Callithrix jacchus: one gene and its partners. The protein of the gene in region 1 interacts with the protein of each later gene in a pairwise test. Links are inferred from orthologs where the notes say so. Each region holds a gene or a part of one and is shown in the gene's direction. Other genes may lie near its edges.

Evidence for each region.
Region 2: the proteins of keratin, type I cuticular Ha8 (region 1) and MAGEB4 interact in binary tests that used the Homo sapiens proteins (3 or more experiments, as listed by UniProt). The link is inferred for Callithrix jacchus from reciprocal best matches to the Homo sapiens genes KRT38 and MAGEB4.
Region 3: the proteins of keratin, type I cuticular Ha8 (region 1) and TXLNB interact in binary tests that used the Homo sapiens proteins (3 or more experiments, as listed by UniProt). The link is inferred for Callithrix jacchus from reciprocal best matches to the Homo sapiens genes KRT38 and TXLNB.
Region 4: the proteins of keratin, type I cuticular Ha8 (region 1) and CCDC146 interact in binary tests that used the Homo sapiens proteins (3 or more experiments, as listed by UniProt). The link is inferred for Callithrix jacchus from reciprocal best matches to the Homo sapiens genes KRT38 and CCDC146.

What each region holds. Positions count from the first base shown.
Region 1 is NC_133506.1:91,822,132-91,829,508, forward strand, and holds the end of keratin, type I cuticular Ha8, read left to right. Parts: intron 1-5; coding exon 6-88; intron 89-876; coding exon 877-1,033; intron 1,034-1,388; coding exon 1,389-1,550; intron 1,551-1,628; coding exon 1,629-1,754; intron 1,755-2,259; coding exon 2,260-2,480; intron 2,481-3,038; coding exon 3,039-3,153; 3' UTR 3,154-4,407; downstream 4,408-7,377.
Region 2 is NC_133524.1:31,133,090-31,141,317, forward strand, and holds MAGEB4 (melanoma-associated antigen B4), read left to right. Parts: upstream 1-2,927; 5' UTR 2,928-3,063; coding exon 3,064-4,104; 3' UTR 4,105-4,657; downstream 4,658-8,228.
Region 3 is NC_133505.1:146,035,809-146,044,037, reverse strand, and holds part of TXLNB (beta-taxilin), read left to right. Parts: intron 1-1,027; coding exon 1,028-1,222; intron 1,223-3,012; coding exon 3,013-3,132; intron 3,133-8,055; coding exon 8,056-8,130; intron 8,131-8,229. UniProt on the Homo sapiens protein: Promotes motor nerve regeneration. May be involved in intracellular vesicle traffic.
Region 4 is NC_133512.1:72,897,594-72,905,822, reverse strand, and holds part of CCDC146 (coiled-coil domain-containing protein 146), read left to right. Parts: exon of another isoform or gene 1-2,178; intron 2,179-3,439; coding exon 3,440-3,513; intron 3,514-4,439; coding exon 4,440-4,667; intron 4,668-5,915; coding exon 5,916-6,102; intron 6,103-8,229. UniProt on the Homo sapiens protein: Essential for sperm flagellum biogenesis and male fertility.

The sequences.
Region 1 (7,377 bases):
CTCAGATCCTGTGCAGCAAGGCTGAGAACGCCAGGCTGATTGTACAAATCGACAATGCCAAGCTGGCTGCCGATGACTTTAGGATCAAGTAAGTCCGGTGCAGGAGGCCAGGATGACTCCTTCCCCATCCTCCATCCCAATGCCCAAATACTTGTTGAGTGAGTGAATCATTGTCCTTTCTCCCTTGCTAGATTCTCCCCAGTAAAAGTTTCATTACAATCAAAATGGATAGAAGATGGAAGGGAAAACCCTTCATTAATCCAACCATGTATGTTTTTCCTCCTTCATTTATTTCCCTAACATGGAGGCAGCCTAAATTCATTAGCCAGGAGCAAAATGAGGTGATTTCAAGGATAAACTGAGCAAGACAGCCATTCATTTTCATATATAAGTCAGAGGAGTCATAGATGAGTCTTCGTCCAGATTTAACTATGCAGTCCTAGGGTACTAGGTATGAGATACTTAGGAAAAAACCAGAGGGGAAGACAGTTGAAAGCAAGGGATAAGGAGCTGTGGATCACAACCGGGCACCTGGCTATTGCTTATCTTTGGTAACTGACGGCCACTGCAATGGAATGAGCATTGGACTGGGTCCCAAGACACACGATCTTAGGCAACTCAGTTGATCTTAGTGAACCGCAGCTGCCACAGAATACAATGGCAAAAATGTATATTGTGCAATGTAGTGCTGTGATTGTTTCATCAGACCACCAGCTCTTTGAGAAGAGGGGCTGTGTCTAATTCACCTTTGAGGCCAGAGAGCTAAACAGAGTGAACAAATGAGGATCCAAGGTGGTGTGGGAGGTGGGAACCCGGGGCAGCCGAGAGGGGCTCTTGGTGGAATTCTTGTTGACCCTGCACCTCCTGTGACTGAAGGCTGGAGAGTGAGCGCTCCCTGCGTCAGCTGGTGGAGGCGGACATGTGTGGTACGCAGAAGCTCCTGGATGATGCGACCCTGGCCAAGGCCGACCTGGAGGCCCAGCAGGAGTCCCTGAAGGAAGAGCAGCTCTCTCTCAAGAGCAACCATGAGCAGGTACAGCCCTGGCCGCTCAGACTCCTGGTGTGGGGGGCGGGCAGTGCTGGGCAGATAGGGGAGCTCCCTGGCCCTGGGGCTCTCAGAGCAGAACCTGGGCTCAGCTGGCATCAGCATGCAGGGCTGAGGTGGGTCTGAGGGTTCAGAGGGCCTCTGTGGAAGGTGCAGACTTGCCTTGGGCACAAGGAAGGCATCCAGGTGGGCTCTCCCGACTGCACTCTGGGCAAGACTTTCCCATTTGCTTGTGTATGGGGCTCCCCTCCTACTGCTTGCCAGGGGTGGGGTCCTGGTGCTGTCTGCTCCATCAAAGGCCCTCTCCTCACACAAACTGTCTGTGCCTTCCTCCCTTCTGCAGGAAGTAAAGACTCTGAGGAGTCAGCTAGGGGACAAGATCCGGATCGAGCTGGACATTGAGCCCACCATTGACCTGAGCAGGGTGCTGGGGGAGATGCGGGCTCAGTACGAGGCCATGGTGGAGACCAACCGCCAGGACGCGGAGCAGTGGTTCCAAGCCCAGGTGAGCAGGGGGTACAGAGCCGGGGGACATCTGGCCTCCATCTGGGCAGGGAGGTGACTGTGCCTCTCTGTGCTCCAGTCTGAAGGCATCAGCCTGCAGGCCATGTCCTGCTCTGAGGAGATTCAGTGCTGCCAGTCGGAGATCCTGGAGCTGAGATGCACGGTGAACGCCCTGGAGGTGGAGCGCCAAGCCCAGCACACCTTGGTACGTGTCCTTCACCCTCACTGCACTGCAAACGCCACGTGCCACGGCCTGATAGCATTTAATTTTGTAGGTCTCACTATCTAGGTTTCTCCCATCTGCAAACTCGTTGATTGTGAATTTCTTTTTTGTCTTTATTGTAAAGATCAGGTCAAATTCAGAAACACAGCTTAACAAAACAATCTCTCTTTTAAAACATATTTAAGAAAAGGCATTAAATGCACCAAAATTTACTGAGTTCTAATTTTTTTGGGGGTATTGCAAATATAGAGATGAATAACGTGAAGCCAATTAAATTTTGGGGGCAGTGCTGGTTTGGGAAAAGACTTGTTCACTGTCAACTTGATTTATCAAGGGCTCTGGGGTATGAGTTCCTGGAATTTGCCCTGGGCTAGGTGAATTTTGGCAATGCAGCATGTTTAGCTACTGTTACCACCATCAAAATCTGGGGCATGTAGCAGTTTCTCTGGGGGTCTTGGGTATTTTATCCCCTTATTTCCCACTACAGAAGGACTGTCTGCAGAACTCCCTGTGTGAAGCCGAGGACCGCTACGGCACGGAGCTGGCCCAGATGCAGAGCCTCATTAGCAACGTGGAGGAGCAGCTGTCTGAGATCCGAGCTGACCTGGAGCGGCAGAACCAGGAGTATCAGGTGCTGCTGGACGTGAAGGCCCGGCTGGAGAATGAGATTGCCACGTACCGGAACCTTCTGGAGAGTGAGGACTGCAAGTACGTGTGATCTGGGCAATTCCTGGCCAAATCATTGACCCAGTTCTCATGAGGTCCTCAGGGCAGCAGAGGGGCTGTCTCTCCATTGAACGAGGCTCTCTGTGCACTCCTTTTCCGTGAGTCATTGCCTGGTCCTGCACCCTCTATATGGTCGACAGAGTGAAGGGAATGACCATCCGCTTAGAGGACATGACCAGGTCTCCGTGGGGGCTGCTTGAGGTAGCCATGATCTGATGAGAGTAGACACGGGGTCGCTGCTCAAACAGGAGACATGACTACTGATCCGGCAGTAGATCCAATTTCTGGACGTGCTTTTCTCTTCTTAAATTCTTCCTAGGAATTTTTATTCTATAGGATCCCTTTAATCATGTAAGACCTTTTAGAAATCACCTATGTAGTCTAACCCTGGAGGTGCTCACTCGGTGCTAATGGTCACAGGCTTCAGCAGGGTCCATGTCCTCTGGTTTTGCAGTGGGGACCCCTTCCTCATGCCCCCACGTGGCACTGAGACCCCATTCATTCCTTGCTTCTCACTTCACTCACGTTTTCTCTCTGCAGACTCCCCTGTAATCCGTGCTCCACGCCTCCCTCCTGTGTGGCTGCCGCATGTGCTCCTTGTCCAAGCTGTGGCCCCAGCACCACCTGTGGAGCCAGCACCGGAAGCCGATTCTGAATGCCTGTGGACCCGTGGGGGCTGGCTCAGGCAAGGGATACCCAGAGAGAGATGCTTGTTATACCTTTAGAAAATCTGGCTTCTAACTTTCTGTATGTATAGGCCTGTCCAAAGGCTATGAGACACCAGGGACAGTGGAATCTTGATGTGAAATCCCTCCTTTCCAGCTCTGGTTTTCCCAGATGAGTTCTATGCCCTCAGTGGATGGATTCCAACCACCCATGGTGGCTCCGAATATCTGGATTGGAGAGATGTAAGGTTGAAAAAGTGTCTGGAGTGGGAGTACAGCATCATTTAAAATTGCACTTGCACTTCAAGGACACCAACTTTAACTTGAAAAATCTTTATAGTTTGTGACAAAGGAAGTGAAGAACAGGCTTCCCTGTCTGAGATTCGCCATGTTTCTTGGGTTGTTTTTAACATTGCCAACCTGGATTATGGCATCAGGGAGCGGGAAATAGAACCGGAATTGTACCTGACCCTTTCTTTTCTAATTCCCTTCTATCCTTCTGCCTCCCTACCTTGGACGCTGATTAAGTAGAACATTTCCTGGTATCAAATCCTGAGTTCTCTCTACGTCAGGGTTTCTAGCTTTGACAAAGGACTAGACTTTCCTTTTCTGTGGCAAAACAGCCTCTTACATATGGCTTACATAGCTTCTTGCTATGTGAAAGGAACTTTCATAAGAAATGTCTCTTTTTTTTCTCTATAAATTCCGACTCTCAAGACTTGTCTGGCTATAACCCCTGTCCCTATCTAATTCTCCTAGTTTAAAATACAAACAACAACTTCATTTTTTTTCCTAGTATTTCCTCCTGAAGTACTGAAACCTGTTGATTTAACAGGTGGAGAACTGCTAGGTTTGATGTGCTTCCACCTCTTCTCTTCCTACTCTCTATCTTTCTTACCATGATTCAGCCACGCTGGCCTTTCTGTTCCTTGGACATGGCTGGAGACCTGTCCCTGCTCATCTTCTCTCTGGGGTGCTCTTCCCCCTCACTATAAATGTTCAGGTCAGTTGCAAGTTTCCTTCTTCTGAGAGCTCCTGCTTGACTCTCAGTGTAAAGGACTCACAACACCCGACACTGTCCTGCTCATTTAGCACCTCCAACAGCTGAACTTGCCTCTGTATCTACTGTTTTCCCAATCAAAATGCTTACTCAAGATTAGCAATTGTTCACACTGCATCTCCAGAGCCTCGCCCACTGCTTGGTACATAATGGATGCTTAATAAATATCTGTTGTAAGAACGAATGTTTCTAGTCCTGACTTTATCTCTCACTTACGGGGTTTTCGAATCATCGCTTCACACGCCTAAGCCTCAGCATTTTTTTCTGCTACGAAACAGAGATAATGTTATTGTTCATACTTATATCCCAGGTCTGTGATGAATTCTAAGATAACAGAAATAAAAATACCCTGAAAAGGAGAGAGCACACCAAAAATCCTCACCCAGAGCCAATATTGATTGTATAATGTTTAAGGAGTGCAGGGGCTGACCCACATGGCCAGATTTAAGGGCCACCCATGACCTCAGGCTTCTTCTTATAGGCAGGTAAATAAATTTCCTCTAACATCTAAATTCAATCAGAAACAAATGGTGCACGTAATAACTTACTTCCCAGAGCAAACTATATTTGAGTATTTGCATTAGGCCAAAGAATGAGAAAACTTTGCTTGAAGGGGCAGAATCTTCTAAGTCTTGTGAGGCACTCGGTCATTTCAAGGGCCATTATGATCTCTGCAGAACTTAAATTTGGAGACTTGGGTGAATGCAGACTAGGCCCATTTGTGCTCCTAATTTCTGAATGCGATTACCAGCTATTTTTCACTGGAAAAAGCTCTGAGTTTGGTCTCCCTCCTCATCACGACTTGTAGCTTCATTGGAGAAAATGCAACAAAGAGAAATGGATGAGATGTGGACCATCGACGTGAGGGTAAAGGCATGGTTCAAGCCAGCCTCCTTTTCCTAGAGAAGGAACTGTCTGGTTGCATGTGGGGGGCTCCAGCTTGTGGTGCTAAATGCTAAATGTGGGCCTGGTGGTAAAGGTGTGTCCTTCTGGAAGACTCTCTCATGCTACCAAGCCATTTTCTCTGAAGCTGATTGACTAGGTTAGGCTATGTTATGAGGCAAGAACAGAAATCTTTCAGGAAACTGGCTTGCTTTTTTTTTTTCTTATTCTTCATGATCTGAGCTAGAAGGTTCCCTCTACACAGGTGACGTTTTCTGAGAAGAGAAGCAAATGAACACGGGACCTGTTGTGTTGATGTCGCCCCTTGGAGATACTGCTTCTTAGGAAAGAGTCTCCTGCTTCAGGCCAGCCCCAGTCTCCTGACGGTACCTGGTAGATTTCCTGCCTTACTACCAACAGCAGCACATACATCACCTGGAGCCTGCTTTTGCTTTCCTTTTCTTTGATTGTTAAAATAAACATTTGAAAGTAACTTATGGTTTTCAAATGGAGTTTTATACAACAGTGGTTTCTCTTGCCTGGTGTTAAAGGCAGTCTCTTCCCTCTGAGAACAGAGAGCCACACTACAGCTCTTATAGGGCAGACATCATAACTGCTTCTAAAAGATGAAGCTCACAGAGGTTAAATCACTTGACTGAAGATACACAATTAGGAAGTGTTTGAGCCAGGACTTGGACCTAGATTGCTCTGGCTGCAGATCAACTCTTGCTGTGTCACATCACCTGAGTGTTTCATCTGTGTTCCTTCGAGTGGCTCCGAGCTGCCTTTTAAAGGGAGATCCTGCAATGTAAGCCTTGGATGCCCCTGTCTCTCACACACAGGGTCACTGACACAGTGTGATTTGGAAAGGAGACAGACCTGCGTTTATTTAGCACAAGACTTACAGAAGGACAGCTATGAAAGTCAGTTCCCGGAACCAGCTACCCTACCCTGAGCTCATTGCTACCCAAACTGTTGCGAAGTGCTTTGTCTGTGTTGACCATTTAAAGTGTCATTATCAGTGTCTGAGAGGGGTTAAATATCAACTCTTGAAGGCAGAGTATGTCATTACCAGAGAAGAGCCCTTCCCAGTGATGTAAAACCAAATGAGCTGGCTCTTCTCTTGCCAGAGATTGCCTGCGCGAGTGGTGGAATGAAGCAGTTGTGGGCTTTAAGGCGACCAGACAGCCAATTTATATAATTCTCTTCTTTTCATAAAAGGACATGGGTTAAAATGCAAAGTTAAATGTGATCTACCTCTGAATGTTCTGTAGGACTTTTCAAGCAATCTCATTACTGGCTATATACCCAAAGGATTGTAAATCGTTTTATTATAAAGACACATGCACATGTATGTTCATTGCGGCACTGTTTACCATAGCAAAGACTTGGAACCAACCCAAATGCCCATCAACGATAGACTGCATAAAGAACATGTGGCACATGTACACCATGGAATACTATGCAGCCATAAAAAAAGATGAGTTCGTGTCCTTTGCAGGGACATGGATGAATCTGGAAACCATCATTCTCAGCAAACTCACACAAGAACAGAAAATCAAACACTGCATGTTCTCACTCATAGGTGGGTGTTGAACAATGAGAACACATGGACACAGGGAGGGGAGCAACACATGGGGGTACTAGAGGAGGGACAGCAGGGGGTGGGAAGTGGGGAGGGTGGGGAGGGATAATGTGGGGAGAAACACCAGATATAGGTGATGGGCAGATGGAGGCTGCAAACCAGCTTGCCATGTATGTACCTATACAACAATCCTGCATGATCTGCACATGTACCCCAGAACCTAAAGTACAATAATAAATAAATATATTTTTAAATGAAAACAAGTCTTGCCTTAATTCTGACTTGACTTGGCAGCACAGAGTTTGGAAGTCAGGGATTTTGTATCGTTGGTGCAGCATGCCCTGGTTTGGCTTTATGCTATGTCTGTGCACGCAGCACGCAGGCATTCCTTCAGCACATAGTTACCGGGTATTACCATGCACCAGATACCGTGAAGGATAATGCTGAGTATGATTTGCTCCAGAGCTGAGCTCATTTAGTCACTTCTATTTTTATCAACTGAGTGCTTTGTTATGTTAAGTGCTGTACTGGGAGTTAGAGATGAATAAGACAAAAGCAGTAAGACAAAATTTCTGCTTCTAAGGGGCTTCCAAGAATAATAACAACAGAATGAAGTGGGTTACATTCAAGGTAAGCTAACAGTCAATGTGAGTGGAGAAAGGGAACTGATTGAATGCTCTGCGAAGC
Region 2 (8,228 bases), on another chromosome or scaffold:
CCAAATGTACATCAAGTTATAAGATTCTGTGCCCAATTTGCTGGACTGGAATACAGAACCAAAGCAACAAAATCACCAAAATGACTGAGACGTGTGAATAAAGGAGAGAAAGACAATATTTGATGACAATATGATTGCATAATCAAATACATATAAACTCAAAGGATCATGGGCTCACATTCTGTCATTCTGGTCAGTCCCCCCATTTTTTAAGGAAGTTAAATACTTTCCAAGAGAAATACATAAGAGACTGGTAAAGAGAAGAAATAGATCAATGTGTTTCTCTGACAGTATGACTTCTATCCTGGGGCTTCTGTTTGTGTTACAGCTTCCCCATCTTACATCACTCCTGGGACAGGGATGCATTGTCTGCAAGATTTGTTGTAGGGAAACTGGTCAAGACTTTTAAGGGATGTGGTATTTCCCAGGAAGTCATTAATTAAGGGACAAGAACCAAGAAAAAGACCCTCATATAGGAGGACAGAGCAGAGCAACATGCCAGACACAGTTCTTAGCCTGAGCATCTCCTCACTTATTCTTCAAAGTTCATAGGGACTTGTGAGTTCTTGGACCTCAGGTCAGTAGAGGGAGGAGTCCCATTCTCTGACACGTACCAAGTTGAGGACCCTGAATAAAGAATGAGGGAAGCATTCACCCCAATAGTCTTGACAGGATGTAGCTGAACCTAATTTCTACTCCGGAGGTCTTAAGAAGTTAAAGACCATTATCTCAGGCTAGCTGACTCAGGTCCATAGAGATAGGATTCCTAAGGTGTGCCAGGAGTAAAGTGAGTACCCTGAAGGGTGCAGGAACCACCAAACCCCTATCAGTGTAGACCCCACAGAATCCTCCCTATTGTCATCTCTGAGAGATTCAGGCATGAATGTCAGACAGAGGCACCCTCATATCATCAGTAGTAACAGAGAAGTGAAGGTCTTGTTCTGAGGTGGGCAGTCCCAGCTCAGCAGGGGGAGGAATATTAAGCCTTCCTGTGAGTCAGATTTAGGATCCTGAGTTAGGACCTGAGTAGGACGATCCACCATAAGACCTCAACCTGGCTACCACAGCCGCCACTCTTGGGAGACCATAGTCAGTTATGGCCAGATAAGGCCACCCTCTCCTCCTCCTATCAGATCTCAGGGAGGTACAGGCCTTTTAAACAGAGAGGTCTTGAGGTCAAAAAGGAGGGGAGCCTCAGGATCTTCCAGGAGCCAAATAAAGGAAAACAAGTGAGAGCTGAGGGGGCTGCTCACCTCTAAATAGAGAGGACAACAGACTCTAGCCCCCTGCATAAATCTTAAATTGCCAGGGCAACATGTGAGGCTGAGGCTTCACCATCACTTTTTTTTAAATACTTGACCTTCTTTTTTCAGAATAGTTTAATGTTCACAGCAAAACTGAGCAGAAAGCACAGAGAGTTCCACAGGCATCCTGTCCTCCCAGGCACAGCCTCCCTCATATCAACCTCCCAACCCAGGGTAATACACTTGTTACAATTGAGCATACAGGGACACATCATTATCACCTTATCAATTTAAGACAGAATTGCTTTACTGCCTTAAAAGTTCTCTGTGCCTCATGTATTTATCTCTCACTCTTCCCAACCCTTGGAAACCACTCAACTTTGTACTGTTTCTACACTTTTGCCTTTTCCAGAATGTCTATAGATGGAATTATGCATTGTGTTGCCTTTTCACATTGGCTTCTTTCACTTTGTAATATGTAGTTAGGTTTCCTCCATGTCTCTTTGTGGCTTGATAGTTCTTTCCCTTTTAATACTGAATAATATTTTATACTCTTAATTTACCCACTCTCCTTCTGAAGGACATCTTGGCTGCTTTCCAGTTTAGGCAATTATAAATAAAGCTACTATAAATGTTTGTGTGCAGGTTATTTTGTGAACATTCTTTTCAACTCATTTGGCTAAATAACAAGAAGTGCAGTTACTAGATCATATGATAAGACTACACATAGTTTTGTAAGAAATTTATAAACTGTCTTCCAAAGTGGCTGTACCATTTCGCATGTCCACCAGCAATGACAGTGTGCTCCTATTGCTCCACATCCTCGTCGGTAGTTGGGGTTATCAGAGTTTTTGATTTTGACCATTCTTATAGGTATGGAGTGGTTTCACATTACTTTAATTTGCAAGTCCCTAATGACATGTGATGTTGTGCATCACTTCATGTACGTATTTACTTTCTGTATATATTATTGTTGAGATGCTCATTTATATCTTTTGCCCATTTTTAATAGGGTTGGTCCATTCTTATTGTTCAGTTTTAAGAATTTTTTGTATGTTTTGGTTAACAATCTTTTATCAGATATGTCTTTTGAAAATAAATTTTTCCCAATCTGGGAGTTGTCTTATTCTTTGTGGTATCTTTACCAGAGCAGAAGTTATAATTTAGTGAAGCCCAGATTATCAATTTTTTTTTCATAGATGCCCATCACATTTTATGTCAGAACTAGAAAAGGTGAAATTCTTGGTCTGAAGTCGCAGTTATTAGTCATCAGAAGAGACAGTCCACAACCCTGCATGGAGTCCAGATGAGGAAACTGAGTGCAAACTTGGGACCTGAGGATCCCAGGACAGAGAGCACTAAATGCTTCGAAGCAGGGGTGGTGGGTTGAGGTGCCCCTACATTTCCCTCATCTGGGTCCCATAGAAAGTTAAAGATTCTACTTCACAACACCAATAGAAGGAGGCTGAGGCCCTGCCAAGAGCTGACAGGATAATTCTAAAAGTAATCAGAGTGGATCCTTTCCAAGCCAGAACACAGAGAGAACCCAGTCAGCCCCCAGCAGGGTTGGCAAGCTGCAGCCTAAGGCACATTGTAACTTCCTCAGCTGAGTTCTCAGGGGACAGAATGACGAAGAACAATAGCCCAGTCAATACTTAGAGCAGTGTTCTCAAGGAATCCTGCAGAGACGGTTTCTGAAAAGCCAAGGTAGTATCTGCCTACTAAAGGTGTTCTCAGGATCTCAATCTCTCTTCTCCAGGCACCATATCACCTGCCCTTCTGGCTACTCTCCTACCTGTTGTGCCTAATCACAGCTATCATGCCTCGAGGTCAGAAGAGTAAGCTCCGTGCCCGTGAGAAACGCCAGCGGACCCGTGGTCAGACCCAGGATACCAAGGTTGCTCAGGCCACTGCAGCAGAGAAAGAAGAGTCTCATTCCTCTTCCTCATCTGTTTTGGGGGATATTCCCTCCAGCTCCCCTGCTGCTGGCATTCTGCAGAGGCCTCAGAGAGCACTACCCACCACTGGTGCTGCAGCTATGTCATGCACTGGATCTGATGAAAGTGACAAGAGCCAAGGTGAGGAAAAGGCAAGTTCCTTCCAGGCCTCAACATCCACTGAGAGCTCAATCAAAGATCCTATAACCAGGAAGACGAAGATGTTGGTGCAGTTCCTGCTGTACAAGTATAAAATGAAAGAGCCCACTACAAAGGCAGAAATGCTGAAGATCATCAGCAAAAAGTACAAGGAGCACTTCCCTGAGATCTTCAGCAGAGCCTCTCAGCGCATGGAGCTGGTCTTTGGCCTTTCCTTGAAGGAAGTCAACCCGACCAGTCACTCCTACACCATTGTCAGCTTGCTGAATCCCACCAACGATGGAAACGAGAGCAGTTCCTGGAAATATCCAAGGAATGGGCTTCTGATGCCTCTACTGAGTGTGATCTTCTTAAGTGGCAACTGTGCCAGTGAAGAGGAAATCTGGGAATTCCTGAATGTTTTGGGGATCTATGATGGTAAGAGGCATATCATCTTTGGGGATGCCCGAAAGCTTATCTCCCAAGATCTGGTGCAGGAAGAATATCTGGAGTACAAGCAGGTGCCCAACAGTGATCCCCCACGCTATCAATTCCTGTGGGGTCCAAGAGCCTATGCTGAAACCAGCAAGATGAAAGTCCTAGAGTTTTTGGCCAAGGTGAATGATACCATCCCCAGTAACTTCCCACTCCTTTATGAAGAGGCTTTGAGAGATGAAGAAGAGAAAGCCAAAGCCCGGCCCAGAGTTGCAGCCAGGCGTGGCACTACTGCCATGACTAGTGCACATTCAAGGGACACATCCAGCAGCTCTTCCCACCCCATGTGAGATCTAAGGCAAATTGTTCAATTTGTAGTTGAAAGACCTGCTGCCTTCTGCTGTTCCTGTGCTGCATGAATAACTCGGTGATATATCTCTTTGTTGAATTTTCCTGTGATGTTTCTTAAAATAGAAAGGTTATTTAAATTCAGAATATAAGCTTAGAAATGGCATGCATCACACACTTATTTCTGTTTATCAGGTTGGTTTAGTAATAAGAGTTTGGTTTTTGAAATACAAATAGAAAATCTGAAAATCGTTTTTGTGATACAGAGCAAAATAACATGGCGTTGGAGTAAGGTTATTTTTAGAAATTTAAAATAACGCCACAGTAAAATAGAAGAATCTGAAGACAGAAAGAGAAGAAAAGCAAAAGTTGCTTTATTTTTGATTTATCTTACTACTTTTAGTCTTTTGTTGTTCATAAATTTGAAAGTTACATACCTGGTTTGCTTAGATTATTTAAGAATGTGGAGGCTTCGGCCAAGGTCAATGACAGTGTCCCCATTGTCTTCCCTCTATTAAGAGAAGACTTTGAGAGATGAGGGAGACAGTGTTGCAACTGCTCCTGGCATGTTCCAGTGTGATGTCCAACAGTGTCATCCACTCCTTGTGAAGTCTGAGGTATATTCTTTACTTTTAATTAAAGAAAATATTAACCTTCTAATTAATAGAGGGCCAAAGAGGAGTTGGTGGGAACATCATATATAATATATTTGTATGTAAAATGATTTATCTTTTCATTTTCCTGTTTTTCAGTGTTCTTTCTTTTAATTGTAGAATTATTTAGTTTCAGAATCTAAGTTTATGAATGGCATGAAAAACTCATTTATTAAAATATGTCAGGTTGAAGAACAAGAACTTTTGCATTATGTAAAACAATTTAAAATCTTTAAATCTTTTTCTGTGATCTAGAACAAGACAATATGACATTAGAATACAGAATTTGTGAAAAGGAAATTACCTAGCAATAAAGTTGGTGGGATCATGAAATAGAGAAAAAAAAGTAAAATGTGGTCAATTCTTGCTTTGTTTTATTCCTTTTAGTCTTTCTTTGTAAAACTGAAGTATATGTATCTGGATTGGGTTAGCTTTCTCAGGAATGTGGGAGAAATTAAATAGCAATACATTTGACTTCCGGCTCACTTGCACTTTAATTGTCCTAATATTAATTGAGCAGCTACTCTTCAGAGGGCTCCTAGCTAGCACTGGATAAGCAAAAAAATAAAAATTAAAAAAAAATAAAACCCTGTCCATAGAATTTTAGAATTCAACAGCAGCTATCACATAATGAAGGTAATGAGATAGTCCCTAAGACCTAAAGACAGTTGAAAAGAGGATATAAGAAGGTGGGGGTGTTTCTAGGGGAAGAATCTAGTGTAAATGTCCTAAGCAAGGTAATTGAGACTCTGGGAAACTGAACATACTGCAGTAGGAGGTAATTTTATGTTGCTGCATAGTGACTAGATGGGGCGCACCGAGCAGGGGGGTCACACACTCAGATGATGGATCTCAGAGTTGAGAGTTAGAGACTGGAATGAAAAATTGCCCTTAAAAGTTACTTTGGAATTGTGGAAAAAAACAGAGGAAATCTTTGCCTGGGGTAGGGATTGAAAATGGCCTGTGCTCTTGTCCCAGCGCAAGTGAATCCAGTACACAGATTAGGTGTTTTATGCACATAGTCCCCGGGGTGTTTCTGAGAAATAAAGGTGTTACTCCTTTAAGACTGGAAACTCATATGCCACTGGGCTAATACTCTGCCATCAGCTGGGGAGCCAGAATCCATTCCATTAAAAGGGCATTCATTTTTCTTTTCTTTCATGTGTTTTGGAAGTTTTAAGGGACATCTAGATTTTTGGTGATGGTAAAATAAATGAATATAAGGGTGGTTTGTATGAAAGGCTAGAGTTGGTCTTTGAAGCAAACCCTAGAAGGTTTCAGTTGCTTTCAGCTGAGAAAGACAACTCCACACTCAAACTATGATTCAGTATGGAAAAGATACTTAGAGTTTCTTTGTAAGCTGCATTTTGGGCTGATTTGTAGTTTCATGTCTTAGAATGTTGTATATTCTTTGTTATCACTTGGGCTTAAAAAAAATCAGCAGATTTCTTCTGAATCAACTACAGATGATTTCTTCTGTAGTTGAAATAATCATAGTAATAAGCATTGTTTAAAGTCTCAATGCACTCCAGGGCTTTGCACATGTTAACCACATTCCACCAGTCCTACATCACAAGGCTTATCAAGCCCATTTCACAGATGCAGAGCCTAAGGCTCATAGAGTTTGGTAATGTGCCCAAGTTCATACAGCTAGTAAGTGATAGGGCTGAAACTAGACTGCTGATCTGAATTCCTCTAGAGTCCACACTGTTCCACTCCTCCCAAACTGAAGCTTACCACAAGTTGCTTAATTCATTTTCTTCTGCTAACCCAAAGTGTATCTCAGGTAACAAAGAAGAGGTCTATGCCCCAAACACTGATTGGAATACAAAACCAGAGCAAGGATAATACCAAAATAATTGACACATGTAAGTTAAAGACAGAAAGAAATAATACTCGGTGACAATATGATCATCAACAGAAGCAAAATCAGATAGCTTCAAAAGATCGAAAGATTGCAAAATCATCTGGCTTCACCCTTTTCTATAGAAAGTAAGTCTTTTAGAAATACCCTTTGGTTGGTGAAGTGAAAGAACAGATCAGCATGTTTTTTCCCCTGAGAGCACAGTATCTGTCCTAGGCTCTCCACCTTCCATTTCAGTTTCCCAATGTCACATTACTTCTGGGACAGGGACCTCTTCTCTGCAAGCTCTGCAAAGAGGAAATTGATCAAATTTTTGCAGAGATGTGACATTTCCCTGGAAGACATTGATCAAGAGACAGGAGCCAACATGAGAACCCTCATGAATGAATAGTAGGGTGAAAACCATTTCAAAATGTAAGGTTTCATCTAGACCCTTCAGGAGGGTGACCTCAGTTCAGTAAACAGAGGAGTCCCAGGTTCTGATACATGTAAAGGCGAGGAGCAAAACTGTGGAGCTCTATTGAGGCCTGTCCTTACTATCTGTTCTTGCAGGTTGCAAAAGAACTATGATCATATGAGGATCATCCAGAATTCCAACTCCAAATTCTCAGGAAAACAGGACCTTTATGTGAGAGGAGCAGGTTCAGGTAAATAAAGGGTGGAGTTATAGGTTTGCTCACTTGTCAAGGTGAGAGGCTGAATGTGGACTAAGGGTTAAGAAGAGGCCTCACAAAAAGCCCCAGGCGGGGATGGCAGGTTGATTTCTGCCCGGAAAGTCTCAGGGAGGTGACTGGTTCCGTCTACTTGGGGCAGCGTCAGTTTCACAGAGGGAAGAGGTTGAGACTCTAACAAGAATCACTGTAGGACTCTTACGTGTTATGCGGGGACTCCACCAGCAGACAAGACCACACAGAGTTCATCCCGTTTTGAAGCACCAGACAGAGCTATCTGCCTAAGGTGCCTCTCATTTCCGCCTGGAAGGTCTCAGGGAGGAGAGCATCTGGCCCTGAAGGGGGAGTCGCTCTAATTCTGCCTGGAGAGGAAACCGGAGCCGGAGCAGGAGCGGGAGTCCTAGTGAGGAAGACCTCTCCCCAAAAGAGGGACGTTCACAGAGTCCTGCCACTGCTGTCAGGCCTGTGAGGCCCAGGCAGGGGTGGCCTGTATCGCATGCTCAGATTTCCACCGTGGGTTTGAGGGAGGTTGGGGTATTGTATGGAGGCTGGCAGATTTGGGTCAGCAGGCGGAGTCATCCCAGGCTGCTAGATACTAAGGTAAGGACTTCTAGGGGGTACGTAGAGATTAGCAACACAAGAACAGTGACCTCCCATAGCATCATGCTCCTGCCTTCACCCTTCAAAGGCCCCAGGCTGCCGAATGTGGCTCATCCTGACTTCTGCTTTGAAGGCGAGGACTCCAGCACACGTGGTTCGTCCTCACTTCCATTATGAGGGCAAGGAGCCAAGCGGATGTTGCTCATCCTCACTTCCGCTTTGAAGGGTGGGGCAGGCGGTGGGGGAGGGCGGGGCCCCGGGCGGATGTGACGTATGTGATGGGGAGGGGGCTGACCCCAGGCGGATGTGACTTACCACTTTCGCTTTGAAGGTGAGGA
Region 3 (8,229 bases), on another chromosome or scaffold:
ATCAGAACCGAAAGGAATCCTAAAATGTCTGTATCATTTGTCAGCCACATAAGTGTCTCTATCTTTGGTAGGATGTAGCAAGATTAAACCCTTTTATTCAAAAAGAACGAGAATAACAATCACAAAGCAATTCCCAATATAGATATGAAGGAAATTGGAGCTCATTGTCAGTGGTTAGCAATGAATGGAGAGTTTTGATCTAGGAGAAAAGAGAACAGAAATGATATAAAAGTTAATTTGCAATTCTTCAATGTTAACAAGGCAGAAGAAGGAAAATTAGATGTTTCACTTTAGAGTTAAAGAAGATTTGAAACTTAATATTGCTTTCAGATTCAAAATTTACATTGAACATTTTAATTACCCTTCGTGACACATTTAATGATTGTTCTTTCAAAAACAAAATAATATCTAGCATATTTGGAAATATTCCCTTTTATCTTCTTGAATGGCTGTAAGTGAGCTATGCTATCTTAGTTTCCTTTTTAAAAGGTTTTTGATGAAAGTTTTTTTCTCATGAAGAGAAAATTTTTATTGTGATCACTTATATTTACAAAACCTGGGTAATACAATTATGTGGTTAATATGCCATGTTTTTATAGGGAAATATAAGATCTATGATTCTTCCTTTACCAACCCAAAGAAACACATGATCTGTCTCATCAATCAGTAAACTCAAGGGGCTGTTTTCTCAGGCCACAACCAAGAGATCAAAATCGTGTGACTGTGTGTTTGTTAGAAATCACTGCCGTTCATTCACTCAGCAAGAGCCCTGTCATCTTTAAAACAAGTCTATTCATCACCGACTACAAATTCAAGGCCTTCACAGCACCTGCTCTGAGTAACTATGTACTCACAGCTGAAACCTTTACTCATACATTTATTTTGGGGCTGAGCAGCTTTCGTTCTAGAGAACTGAGGAAAAAAAAGTCCCACCTACTCTGCACACTAATCTCCTTTTGGTGACCTAATCCTGAGTTCTATAAACCCAGGGTGCATTTAAACAAAATGTTTTGCTTTTTATCCACAGGAAGAGGCCCTTCAGCGGGCACGTGAGGAAGAAGAGAAAAGGAAGGAAATCACAAGTCATTTCCAGAGTACCCTCACGGACATCCAGGGCCAGATTGAGCAGCAGAGTGAGCGAAATATGAAGCTCTGTCAGGAGAACACAGAGCTTGCAGAAAAGCTGAAAAGCATCATCGATCAGTATGAGCTCAGAGAGGAGGTGAGAACCACATCAAACAACTTAGAACAGTACACAGATCGGGATCTGGGTGGTGAAGGTGGGAGCTTGGTTAATAAGACAGCCCTCTCAACCGATCAATACTTAGGACTGGATTTCCTTGACTAGCCAGAATGAAGACAGATGGTCTTACAAAATACCTGACTGAAAGTCACATGGGATTTCTTCAAAACTGGCATCACTGCAAAGTAAAGGCAATAAATAGAAAGTGATAGGCTGTGGGCAAAGTTTTCCTTGAAAATAATATTTCTCAGCCTTTTAAAAACCCTCTTGTGTAGCCAAAAATAACTCATGCACTCTTAAGAATTGCCATGTCATCTAAATTAAGTCTGTATTCAACGAACCCCACCAGACCAATAATCGTATAATAATGTAATCATTGTAATAATAATGATGTCATTTATTCAGTGCTTAGTTGGTTATCAGGCAAAGTGCTAAGTGCTGTACTTGACATACCATATGGCATTAATTGCCTCAACAATCTTATGTACTAGATAATAATATAGTATCCATATCTCATAGATGGGAAGCAGAAGCTAAGAGATTAAACCACTTACCCACAGTCACAAGAGCCAAAAGCCTTTTACTTTGAATAGGTTATATTAGGGTGACAATCAAGGTCTTTTGTTATCCCAAAATTATATTTTAATATTTACTGTGTTTTTAAGATTCCAGATAACCTCTTGGGATTTTGATATATCATATGCCCTTCCCTATCCCACCCAAATTTTAAATCTCTGCTTTAAAATGTAACATAACACAGTCAAAGCGGCTCTGTTGGCAACATGCTAAGACTTTATCAAGCACAAAACTGAGCCAATAGCATATGGTCGCAGTGGTTAGGTAAATCAAGAAACTCCTCTCAGGAAGCCAGAATGCCATGCTACCATTTTATCTTGTCACGAGGATCAATCCAGCTCCAGAATGGAGGTTCAGACTGAAGAAGAAAGGAAGGAGTGAAAGGAAACTGTCCATACACTTCAGAGAGATCTCAGATGGGAATGGACTGGTATACTGGTTGTATATTCCTGGGACTGGTTCAAGGGTAGAATTCCATGTCCTGTTCTGACGGGACCTCCCAGCAACCAGGAAGTTGTTCATACTGAAGAAGAGTTGGAGGTTTCTCTTCACCAAACAAATCTAGAGGTCAAAAGTTGTGGCGAGCGCTGGACACTGGCAAATCGATTTGTCTGTGACCCTTGGCTTGTCATCCCCACCAGAGCAACAGAGTAGAATTCAGAGGGCTCAGGTCTCACTCCCAGACCTCAGACCACATGCAGGCACTCCAAGGCTTTCTCACAACTCCGGAGGCGAGAACGTGGAGAATGCATCATGATAAATTGCACTAATGTTGTGATTAAAAGTGGTTTTATATTCACAGACAGACCCAAAATACCGAATGATACAACTGCAGCCCCTGTATATTGTATACTGAAACATCATTGTCTGTGCTGTCTAGCATAATAAATAGCATCATATCTAATAGTTACCACATTTATAAAAATATTGTATCGACCTTTTGGCATTGATACTGCTGAACTCTGGTGCCTCTACCTTTTGTAGCTACCTTTGTGTGTGTGGTGCAAAGTTGGGGGGAGGGGTGGTTCACCAATCTACAGCTTTAGTATAAAGCCGTAAGTGATGCCAGTGCATTTATCCCTCTCTTCTTTTAAATCTTAAAACCTGGAGAATATGTATTAATGTGAATTTATTTTGTGTTTTTAAGCACCAATAATAAACCAAACTTTCTATGTATGCTCTATTTTTCTTAGCATCTGGACAAAATATTTAAGCACAGAGAACTACAGCAGAAGCTGGTGGATGCAAAGCTCGAGCAGGCACAGGAAATGATGAAGGAAGCAGAGGAGCAACACAAACGAGAAAAGGAATATGTACTTATCACTTTAGTCTCTGTGCATATCTGGTCTACCTCGGTGTCAGAGACTGTCTGAGCAAGTTGCTTTTTGTTGTTGTTTGTTTGTTTGTTTTGAGATGGACTTTCGCTCTGTCGCCCAGGCTGGAGTGCAGTGGTGTGACCTCAGCTCACTGCAATCTCCGCCTCCCAGGTTCAAGCAACTCTCCTGCCTCAGCCTCCCAAGTGGTTGAGAGTATAGGCATGCACTGCCACACCCAGCTAATTTTTGTATTTTTAGTAGAGACGGATTTTCACCATGTTGGTCAGGATGGTCTTGATCTTTTGACTTCACGATCTGCCCACCTTGGCCTCCCAAAGTGCTGGGATTACAGGCATGAGCAAGTTGTTTTTATGGTGATCAAAGAACACTAGACTGATGGAGAAAGAGCCCCAGCTTCTATGGAAAACTAAATTAGCCACCCAAGTCTAAGGCACTGTATCTACACTACTTTTTACATAAAATAGTCATTCATCCATTCAACACATGTTTTTCAAGTGCCTGATATCTGCTAAGCAACACGGGATATAGCAGTGAACAAGACAGAGAAGGGCCATCTCCACTGTGGAGATTAGAGTCTAACTGGAAAGAGACAGGCAATAAACAAACAAACAAGGAAGGGTCATTTCAGACAATAATTACTGCTACTAAGGAAATAAGGAGAAGCTGAGAAGAGGCTAAAGAAGGGGAGGTACTTTAGACTGAGTGACCAAGAAGGCCTCCTGGAGGGAAGAATGCTTGAACTAAGCCTTGCCCAATGAGGAGCAGCCACTTGGAGCAACAAAGGCCCTGATGCTGAAACCAGTTTGGTGTGCTCCAGAAACAGGAAAAGGTCAGGGAAGCAAGAGCATGGGGAAAAGGTTCAAAATGAAGTTGGAGAGGTAAGCAGGAGCCAAATGGTGTAGCTTTGTAGGGCTGAAAATGTCATTTGGATTTCATTCTAAATATAATGGGAAACTACTGGGTACTTCTGCAAAGGAAGTGATAACACAATCTGCTCTGCATCTGCTAAGACCAATTTGGCCCCTGGGTGGAAAACAGACTGCGGAGGGACAAGAGAGCAAGAAGACAGGAGGCTACTATAGCAATCCACATGAAATATGGCAATGACTTGGTTTAGGGACATGGCAGCAGAGAAGAGGGGTGGGGATGGATGAAAGTTGTTTCCAATGTAAAATCAACAGGCAGCGCTGCAGACCTGAGGCTGGTGACAAAGAGAAAAGGAGAAAGTCAAGGATGACTCCTGAGTTTAGGGCTGAGGAAACTGAGAGGTGGTGTTTATTGATATTTCGTTAATCTCAAGCAACCCCGAAAAAGCTGTAGGGCCGTTCTACGGATGAGATAATTGACGCTTCAAGAAGAAATGCAACTTGTTAAGGTCACACACTGCTGACTAAGCAAGATGTGTTTCGATCTTATGTGCCTCTGTTCCCAAAGCCCACATTCTCTCTGACGGTGCATCACACTCAGATGTGTGTTTCAGAAATATGAGTTGAAGCGTGTATCTGTTGCTGGGGTGAGAGAGAGGTAAATCATAGTCCGTGGACCAATTATTCACACTTGGCCATTTCACATTTTGATCTTGAGCTTTTCATTTACCTAAAATCAGACTAGAATCAATTCAATTGGTTAGAATCGTAATTTTAAATAGCTTTTCAAATATGGCAGCAAAAAGACAAATTTTGGGCAACATAACCTGGTGGACATTGGATAATTTCAAATCAGAAGTCATGTTCTCTTAAGAAACAGATTAATTTATTAAATCCATCTACAACCTAGCTCTCAAAGCAAAAAATAAAACATTCAATTATTATTCACAATCCAAGAGAATAGAAATTCCACCACTGGTGTAATTACCCTTTGGGTAAAATATGCTTCCCATAGGATATCAGTACTTGGTTATATAACATATGAGATGTGACAGAGAAAGAACTAGATAAAGATGCACATGACAGACATTGGAGAGCAGGTTTGAGACGACCCAGCCTTAGCAAGAAACTAGCACCCTGCCCTGGTTCAGCAAAACAGATTTGAGTCAAAGAGAGAGAGCTCCCCTCAGTTCTTTGAAGCTCACCACCTACCCGGGTGGCAGCTTGGCACTTCTTTTTGGAAGTGATGAGATATCAGGTCACCCAGGCAGAACAGGCAGCCACCAGCCTCCCTTGAGATCAGGGGTCACTAGTCACAAGGCTGCATAGCCAGCTCACAATAAGCAGGCACAGTGCCACCACTCCTCTCAGATGGCCAGAGGGGACATCGTAAAGCTTCTGTTCTGCAGCTGCCTCAGTCCCCTCACAGGAACAGTTAGTTGCACTTCTATGAGAATCAACCTTCCTTGCATGCTGGGAGGCATAGAGGAACAAATACAACCCATTTTACAAATGGAGAGGTTGGGTCATGGGAAGAAGACAGACTTAGATGAGGAAAGAGATGCTTTCAAGTTTTTAAAAATAATGATTTTATTGTTCTTTTGGTTCTGATTAAGTAAGTAATACATAGACCTCATGGACAGTTTTTACAACAGGGATAAACTAAAAGTTGAAAATTTAAATCAGCCTATCTCCAAATACAAGAGAAACTTCTTTTTTTTTCTTTTTGAGGCGAAATTTCAATCTTGTTGCCCAGGCTGGAGTGCAATGGCACAATGTCAGCTCACTGCAACCTCTACCTCCTGGGTTCAAGTGATTTTCCTGCCTCACCCTCCCCAGTAGCTAAGATTACAGGTGCCCGCCACCACACCTGGCTAATTTTTTATATTTTTAGTAGAGATGGGGTTTCGCCATATTGGCCAGGCTGGTCTTGATTTCCTGACCTCAGGTGATCTGCCTGCCTCAGCCTCCCAAAGTGCTGGGATTATAGGGGTGAGCCACCATGCCCGGCCAAGAAACTTCTTAATTGGTTGACACCAGACTGACTAGCCGAATTGATTTCTGATGTTCACTATGGTCTCTGTAAAACACAGTGACAGATGCCCACAACATGTTGACTCACAGGTCTACCAAGCCACTCTCTAGAAGGACTACAAATACTTGCTCCCATTTAGCAAGGTGGAGCTTACCAAGAATCAGCTCTTTGCACAAACCTTTTCTTTCCAATTGCACTTGCTTTTGTGTAAATCAACAGGATGTTACATAAACTGATGAAATATATGTATGAAAACAAAAAACTGCTTGTGCAAATTATGCTTAGTGCTTTGAAAGACTAAATGCAAGCAAATGGCAAAAAACAACTGTCAAACTAGATATGAGTATCTGTCAAAGACTGGGCGGAAAGTGGAAAACTCTAGAGAATTATCCAGTCAAGCTGTTTCACAAGTATATTTAGGTTCTAGCATTATTGCTAAACACACACACAGACACACACGCACATACACAAACTCAACAACCTGTGATATTTTTTAAAAAAGATAAAACAAAACAAAACAAAAAAAACCTCTGGACTCCAATCAGAAAATACATACCCAAAACAAAGACCACAGCCCTACCTCAAAATTGATAAATAAGTGGACATTCATCTTAAGTTAAAATTACAAGCTTAATATGAGTGTGTCATTTGATGCCCAAATCACCTTTTCAATCTAAGCCATCAGCTCTCAGGGGCCAGGATTTAGACCAATAGGTCAAATTTCTAACCCATGTTTCTCAAAATGTAATCTACAGACCACCAATATCCACACCATCCTGGGCATTTTCTCTAAGCACAGATTTCAGTCACACCCTGCACTTCCTAAATCCTATTATCTGAGAGGTGTCTGCATTTCAGTATGTTCTGTAGGAGATTCTGATGCATGTTAGAAGCTCTGTGTCAGGAATTAGGGACAAAGACCAAGGACATACATATTTATTATATCACATGTGCTATGGTAGACAACAGTGGTGGTCTAGGAGAACAATTCTGGGTTTACTACAAAGAAACAGTTGTTGGCCAGGCACGGTGGCTCACGCCTGTAATCCCAGCACTTTGTGAGGCTGAGGCAGTGGATCACCTGAGGTCAGAAGTTCACGACCAGCCTAGTCAACATGGCAAAACCCTGTCTCTATTAAAAATTCAAAAATTAGCCAGGCATGGTGGCAGGTGCCTGTAATTCCAGCTACTGAGGAGGCTGAGGCAGGTGAATCGCTTGAGGAGGTGGAGGCTGCAGTGAGCTGAGATCACACCACTGCATTCTAGCCTGGGCGATAAAAGCGAAACTCAGTCCCCCCGCCCCCCCACCCCTGCCAAAAAAAAGGTTGCTGACAAAAGTGCCCCAAGTGGGGATGTTCTGGAGAGGTCAAGCAGAGGCTGAATGACTGTTGGCCAGGATTGCTAGAGAAGGTTCTAGAATGTGGTGGGAAGTTGAATTTTGTGTGATTCATATTTTTCTTTTTTACTTTTTCATTAGAACTGCTAGTTTATAGTTGAGAATCCAACTCTTTTAGACCAATTGTTTTCTTGGCTTTTTCTTTCTTTTAGAAATGGAGTCTCTCTCTGTTGCCCAGGCTAGAGTGCAGCAGTGCCATCAAAGCTCATTGCAACCTGAGATTCCTGGGCTCAAGTAATCCTCCTGCCTCAGCCTCTTGAGTTCCTGGGACTGCAGGCATGGGCTACCACCCCTGACTAATTTTTGTAGTTTTTTTTTTTTTAGTGACAGGGTCTCCCTATGTAGTCCAGCTGGTCTCAAATTCCTGGCCTCCAGCAATCCTCCCAGATTGGCCTCTCAAATTGCTGGGATTACAGGCATGAGCTGCTATGCTGGGCCTGTTTTTTTTGTTTTTTTTTTTAAGCTTTCTAAAATTGTTTTCAAAGTTCCAAAAAATTACTTAAGGAGGTGACTGAGCAGGTTATGAAGTTTTATAGGCAAGTTACAGCCAAATGGTATCTAAAAGGCAAATCTGACCATCTTTCCACACACTCTTCTCATAGTTGCTGAACCAGGCGGCAGAGTGGAAACTTCAGGCCAAAGTGCTGAAGGAACAAGAGACAGTCCTGCAGGCTCAGGTGAGGCCAGGGGGACAAGGCATGGGGGCGCTGTCCTGACTGTGCCCAGATACAAAGGCCGGGGCCAAAGGTGGGTGGCAGAAGGCCTCATCTGTGGCA
Region 4 (8,229 bases), on another chromosome or scaffold:
CCACTGCGAGGAAAAGCACTTCACATTTTTCCACCTCAATCTCCAAGACTTCTGCGCAGCCTCGTACTACGTGTTAGAGGGGCTGGACGTCGAGCCGGCGCTCTGTCTTCTGTTCATTGAGAAGGGGAAGAGGTCGGTGGAGCTGAAACAGGTGGACTTCCACAGCCACCTGCTTTGGATGAAGCGTTTCTTGTTTGGCCTCATGAACGAAGACATAAGGAGGCCACTGGAGGTCCTGTTGGGCTGCCCTGTTCCACTGGGGGTGAAGCAGAAGCTTCTGCACTGGGTGTCTCTGTTGGGTCAGCAGACCAACGCCACCACCCCAGCCGACACCCTGGATGCCTTCCACTGCCTTTTCGAGACTCAGGACAAAGAGTTTGTTCGCTCAGCCTTAAAGAGCTTCCAGGAAGTGTGGCTTCCGATCTGCCAGAACATGGACTTGACGGCATCATCCTTCTGTCTCCAGCACTGTCCGAATTTGTGGAAATTTCGGGTGGATGTCAAGGGGATCTTTGCAAGGGATGAGTTGGCTGAGGCATGGCCTGTGGTTCCTCAGTTGATGCGGGGTAAGACCCTTGTTGATGAGCAGTGGGAGAATTTCTGCTCCGTGCTTGGCACTCACCCTCACCTGCAGCAGCTGGAGCTGGGCAGCAGCATCCTGACCGAACGGACCATGAAGACCTTGTGTGCCAAGCTGAGGCCTCCCGCCTGCAAGATACAGAGCCTGAGGTTGAGAAACGCACAGATGACCCGTGGTTTGCAGCAGCTCTGGAGAACCCTCATCACCAACCGTAACCTGAGATCCCTCGACTTCAGGTTGGAAGCACCCACCTGAAGGAAGAGGATGTCAGGATGGCGTGTGAAGCCTTAAAACACCCCAAATGTATGTTGGAGTCTTTGAGGCTGGATCGCTGTGGACTGACCCACACCTGTTACCTGAAGATCTCGCAGATCCTTACCACCTCCCCTGGCCTGAGCTCCCTGAGCCTGGCAGGAAATGAGGTGACAGACAAGGGAGTGAAGGCTCTCAGTGAGGTCTTGAAGGTCTCCCAGTGCGCCCTGCAGAAGCTGACACTGCAGGACTGCGGCATCACAGCCATGGGCTGCCAGAGTCTGGCCTCAGCCCTCGTCACCAACCACAGCTTGACACACCTGTGCCTTTCCAACAACAACCTGGGGAATGAAGGTGTGAGTCTGCTGTGTCGATCCTTGAGGCTTCCCCACTGTGGTCTGCAGAGGCTGATGCTGAATCACTGCAACCTGGACACAGCTGGCTGTGGCTTTCTCGCACTTATGTTTCTGGGCAATGCATGGCTGATTCACGTGAGCCTCAGCATGAACCCCTTGGAAGACAGCAATGTGAAGCTTCTGTACAAGGTCATGAGAGAACCATCTTGTCATCTCCAGGACCTGGAGCTGGTCAGCTGCCATCTCACTGCCGCATACTGTGAGTCTGTCCTATGTGATCATGAGTAGCAGATACCTGAGGAGCCTGGATCTCGCGGACAATGCCGTGGGTGACGTCGGGGTCACTGCACTGTGTGAGGGGCTAAAGCAAAGGAGAAGTGTTCTAAGGAGATTGGGGTTGAAGGCATGTGGATTGACTTCTGGTTGCTGTGAGGAACTCTCCTTGGCCCTTTCCTGCAACTGGCACCTGGCCAGCCTAAACCTGGTACAGAATAACTTCAGTCCTACCAGAATGAGGAAGCTGTGTTCAGCCTTTGCATGTCCCACGTCTAATCTACAAATAATTGGGCTATGGAAATGGCAGTACCCTGTGCAAATCAGGAGGCTGCTGGAGGAAGTGCAACTGCTCAAGCCCCAGATGGTAATTGACGGTAGTTGGTATTTTTTTGATGAAGATGACTGGTGGAAAAACTGAAGATACAGAAACCTGCCCCACTCACACCCATCTGATGGAGGAACTTTAGAAGCTGTTGTCTCAGAGCAAGTCATGCCTGGGAGTTCCTTCTCATAGATAGAGAATGATTTCTGATTCTCACAAAGCCCTCAGTGCTAGTGATTCTTCTGTGTTCAATATACCTTGGTTACTGGATTTGAAGGCTGGTGACCTTCAAATCATAGGGCCTCAGTATCTGCAAAATATCTGTCCTACCTCAGAGCACACAGAGGGAATGAAATAAACACAGAGCATTTGGAAAATAAAATAAAATAAAATAACCCCTGGCTCCAAAGTCCAATGACATCGTCAGGCAGGAAGGGGCTGTTCTATGACCCTTGCCATGTATGTAAGACTCTTGAGACTGGAACTGAACCTCCTATGAGTCTGCAGAGCATAATGGGGGATGTGATGTTAGACAAACTTAGCTTCTGATCTTGGCCTTGCCACTTACTAGCTATGTGACTTCGGGAAACTTACTTAACTTCTTGTAGCATGTGTCTTAGGCAGGGCTCCCCAGAAACAGAGCCTAAGAGCACTACTAATGGAAGGAGAGCTCCAAGGAGAATCCTATAAGAGATAGAGGGAAGCAGGATGGAACTGGGAAGAAGCTAGGCCAGAATACAGCTGCTTCGGGAGAACTCTAGTCTCAGCCTAATCCCATGAACTCACACAGTCATGAATTGCATCACAGAAGCTGTTGCACCCAGAGGTGGTGGTAGGGGGTGTCTGTTAAATCACATCAGTTGGTAATTGGTCGCAACCTGTTCCCCTCCTCCTTCCACCCCCTGGCTCCTATTCCATCTCCTATTCCTTGACAAGGAAGCTCTGCTCAGCCAATCACAATCCAATGGAGAGGAGATTGAGCATGAACCATTAGCAGTCACCCCTGCAGTATCTGAGGGATGGGTGGGAAGACGGTCCCTGGCTTATGGTGATCCACTTATGATTTTTCTACTTTACAATGGTGTGAAAGCAATATCCATTTAGTAGAAAGAATATGTCAAGTACCCATACAACCATTCCATTTTTCACTTTCAGTATTGAATAAATTACATTTCTTGTACTGTATTCAATAAGTTATGATTATTTACTGTGTGGCACTCAACACCTTGTTATATAATAAGCTTTGTGTTAGGTGAAGTATAGACTAATATAAGTGTCCTGAGAATGTAGGCTAGGCTAAGCTATGATTTCAGTGGGTTAAGTGTATTAAATACACTTTTGACTTAAGAGAGTTTCAATTTAAATGGGTTTATCAGGACATAACTCCATTGTATGTAGAGGAGCGTCTGTGCCTTTATATAGGAATCTGGGCAGAGGAATGGTATTTGTTACACTTAGTTGCCTCCTTTCCAAAATGATAACAAATACAGCTATCTTATGAGGTCATTGTGAGTAATAAATGGGATAATTAAGGTACACAGGGCAGATGGTAAGTATCTACATATTGTAGTTCCTTTCACTTTCATATTTAGTGTTCTTAATTGCTTCTAGTCCAAGATTGCATAATTTAACATGATTTCATTTATTTACTAGGATGAATTGGCCCACCATCAAACCAGTCCGGTACAAATTGGAAAAGAGATAGAAAAAACAACACGCAAAAAAGTGTATGATTTAACGTTTTTACTTTGAGTCCCTCATAGCCCAAGTTATATGTGCACATTAAAATAAGAGTATTAACCACTAGACATGTTAGATTACTATTCTAATTTTAGAAATATCTGCTTTTGGCCCTATCTACATTGTTTATATCAAGTTTTTTAAAAGAAAGTAATGCAGCAAATTACTATAATTTGTAATATTTATGGTTTAATTATGAGTCAAGATTCTGTTGCCAATTTATAAATCACATTTTTAGGGAGAAGTTCATTTGACTTTAACAGAGCTGTGCATGGGATAAGTTATGTGAACTGGTTAGAATTTCATGGTCTAGAAGTGTATCAGCCAGACAGCAGCTCCAAGCCTAAATAATGGTAACTCCCCACTTTGCCACCCTTTCATGTATATAACACCTCTCAGATATTCAGAGTAGACTTGGAGGCAGAGGTCATTGAGGAAATTCTCAGTGTTTAGAGGAACCAAAATAGATAAAGATTTTAACTGAAGATAAAAAAAATTCTGGAAAAAATAATATGATTACTCTGGTGACTAATCTTAAGAGAAAAGGGAAAAATTAGGCAGGCACTAGTAACTGTGTGAAAAACCAGGCTCACCAACACCAAAGTTGAGAAACTCAGGTCAGTTCCAGGAGGTGGGTCAGGATGAGGGTTGAATCATAGGAGGTGGTAGCAAATTGGGATCTGCAGAGAGGGAGCCTGGACAAATGCCTGCCTTCTGTGGCACTCAGTGGAGATAGCTTCCAAGTCCCACTCATCTGTGGTCTTTACCCACTGCTGAGATCATTGAATTTATGACGATCTCTTCTGCTGCCTGGTTAGAGAACAAGAATAGGTAAAGCCAGAATGGCCTCAATATAAGGCAAACGTGTGTGTGTGTGTGTGTGTGTGTGTGTGTGTGTGTGTATCCCTTACAGAGAAATGGAAAAGAAAAAAATTGTCTTGGAACATGAAGTCAAAAAGCTAAATGACTCCCTAAAGAAAGTTGAAAACAAGATTAGTGCTGTAGTGGGGGAGAAGGAAGATGTAATAAAGGAAGTTGAAGGCAAACGAGCCTTACTTGAAATCAAAGAACGAGAACATAACCAATTGGTCAAGCTATTGGAATTAGCCAGAGAAAATGAAGCAACTTTGTTAACTGAAAGGTTAGTTATATTTATGTATGTTCTGTCAACTAAATTTTTCTTCAATTTATATTTGAGAATTCAAAACATAATCTCACTTTGGTATTCAGTCAATAAATATTCTTAAATAATTTTAAATCAGCTTTTATCATTAATAAATATATTATCAAATAAAGCACTTTGAAGTATTTTTCCATACTCATAAATTTTCTCAATTTTCTGTTACTAAATTTTCAAGACAAAATCTGTTGTTTGTTGTAAATTTCGGAATGTGTCTTTGGAAAATCATGCCACTGGAGTATGTTATGTTTAGTTCCGGGATTTTACCAACAAACGAATGATATTTCTGAGGCCATCTTGAATTTTTTCTAATAGAAGCAATGTCATGGTGTAATTCCCTATGAGAGTTTTATGTCTTGCTTTTAAGTAAAATTTCAGGGAAACTGGAGGCTTCTATGTCTGCCAATCTGTTATTATTTTCAAAAGGGGTGGTTATAATACTGCAGTTCTAAGTGATGCCAACTCACAAGCCTAGTTGCCTTGGGCATTATTTATGATTTATGATTCCAACATAAGAATAGTTATGTATGCATATACTGAGCATGCTGTCTTTCATTAAACTTTTAAGTTCAGGGTCACACATACAGGTTTGCTACATAGGTAAACTTGTGTGATGAGGGGTTGTTGTACAGATTATTTTGTCATGCAGGTTCTAAGCCTAGTATCTATTAGTTATTTTTCCTGGTCCTCTCCCTCCTCCCACCCTCCACCCTCCAGTAGGTCCCACTGTGTGTTGTTGACCTCTATGTGTCCATGTATCCTCATCATTTTGCTCCCACTTATAAGTGAGAACATGTGGTATTTGGTTTTCTGTCCCTGCATTGGTTTGCTAAGGATAATGACCTCCAGCTTCATTCATGTTCCTGCAAAGGATATGATCTCATTCTTTTTTATGGCTGCATAATAGTCCATGGTGTAGGTACCACATTTTCTTTATCTGGACATTTAGGTTGATTCTACATCTTTGCTATTGCGAATAGCACTGTGATGAGCAAACATGTGCCTGTATCTTTATGATAGAATGGTTTATATTCCTTTGACTATATACCCAGTAATAGGATTGCTGGGTCAAATGGTAGTTCTGTTTTTAGGTCTTTGTCAGAAGAGATTAGGAGCCAATATTCAGCATGCTGTCTTGATAAGTTTTGAAAAACATGTTGGACAGCTGATGACAAATTCACTTTCATTTTCTTCCTTTACCTGGAACAGAGGGATCTTGGATCTCAATTTACGCAACAGCCTCATCGACAAGCAGAACTACCATGATGAACTTTCTCGTAAGCAAAGAGAGAAAGAACGAGATTTTCGAAATTTAAAAAAGATGGAACTGCTCTTGAAAGTGTCCTGGGATGCACTCACTCAAACTCAAGCATTACATCAAAGGCTTCTATTAGAGGTGAGTGCTGTAAACTACCCTCTCATTTTCAAAGCTTAGTGCTAACTTTTGAAGTAAAAATATTTGAGGAAGTTGTTTTTGCTGCCAAAAGAGAAGAAGAAAATAAAAATAACAGAGAAAAGGTAATTTTCAAATGCATCAAGCCCGTTATGAAATCTATAGTCCTGTAATGTTTTTAAGTCTCATTTTGCTAACCCAAGATAAGAGAAAGGTCTTGTTTGGGTGAGTCATCAGTCAGCCTGACCTGGGGAAGTGACTAGGCCATCCAGTTCTAGAAGAGATAGAGGGTTCACTGCAGGATGGGGCTAAGTGGATCATTATCTTCACCAGTTGAAAGAGTCGGATCCAGGATGATGTGTGTCATGGCAGACTATAACAGTGAAGGACTAGATCAGATTACATAGATATAGATGATCAGCAGCCCGCACTTCCAACTAGCCAAGGGCAATCCAGAACCCAGTGTCAGGCTGCCTGGCTAATTCTATGCAGGGTCAGAGCTGTACTCCAGTCAGAAGATGCTCAAGACAACTGTTACCTGCCTCTGTGTTTCCAAGTGAGGTATCTGGTTGCCCCTGGCTCACTTCTCTCTCAGAAGGCACTCCCTGTGCTAAGTGACCAAGCACCACTGAAAGGGCAGAGGATCCTGGAGAGCACTGCAGCCTTGTGCTAGAGCCTTCCTCAGGTGAAAAGGGGATCAACCTCTGAGACGAAGCAGCTAGGTGTATAGAAACCTTCTCCATTCTCTTCTGGACTGTCATGCTCCAGAACCTTATAGAGGGTCATGACCTCAGAAATTGGAACAGTAGTTTCCATCTGTGGTGTATATGTGCCACATTTTCCCTGTCCAGTCTATCATCGATGGGCCTTTGGGGGTTGGTTCCAGGTCTTTGCTATTGTAAACAGTGCTGCAATGAACATTCATGTGCATGTGTCCTTATAATAGAACAATTTAGAATCCTTTGGAGATATACCCAGTAATGAGATTGCTGGGTCAAATGGAATTTCTATTTCTAGGTCCTTGAGGAATTGCCACACTGTCTTCCACAATGGTTGAACTAATTTACACTCCTGCCAACAGTGTAAAAGTGTTCCTATTTCTCCACATCCTTTCCAGCATCTGTTGTCTCCAGATTTTTTAATGATTGCCATTCTACCTGGCATGAGATAGTATCTCAATGTAGTTTTGCTTTGCATTTCTCTAATGACCAGTGATGATGAGCATTTTTTCATAAGATTGTTGGCCTCATACATGTCTTCTTTTGTAAAGTGTCTGTTCATATCCTTTGCCCATTTTTGAATGGGCTTGTTTGTTTTTTTCCTGTAAATCTGTTTGAGTTCTTTGTAAATTCTGGATATCAGCCCTTTGTCAGATGGGTAGATTGCAAAAATTTTTTCCCATTCTGTTGGTTGCTGATTCACTCTAGTGACTGTTTCTTTTGATGTGCAGAAGCTGTGGAGTTTGATTAGGTCCCATTTGTCTATTTTGGCTTTTGTTGCCAATGCTTTTGGTGTTTTGTTCATGAAGTCCTTGCCTACTCCTATGTCCTGGATGGTTTTGCCCAGATTTTCTTCTAGGGTTTTTATGGTGCCAGGTCTTATGTTTAAGTCTTTAATCCATCTGGAGTTAATTTTAGTGTAAGGTGTCAGGAAGGGGTCCAGTTTCTGCTTTCTGCACATGGCTAGCCAGTTTTCCCAACACCATTTATTAAACAGGGAATCCTATTTCCCCATTGCTTGTTTTTGTCAGGTTTCTCAAAGATTGTATAGTTGTAGATATGTTGTGTTGCCTCCGATGCCTCTGTTCTGTTCCATTGGTCTATATCTCTGTTTTGGTACCAGTACCATGTTGTTTTGATTGCTGTGGCCTTGTTTGAAGTCAGGTAGCATAATGCCTCCAGCTTTTTTATCTTTGCTTAGAATTGACTTGGCTATGCGGGCTCTCTTTTGGTTCCATATGAAGTTTAAGGCAGTTTTTTCCAGTTCTGTGAAGAAGGTCATTGGTAGCATGATTGGGATAGCGTTGAATCTATAAATTACTTTGGGCAGTATGACCATTTTCATGATATTGATTCTTGCTAACCATGAGCATGGAATGTTTCTCCATCTGTTTGTGTCCTCTCTTACTTC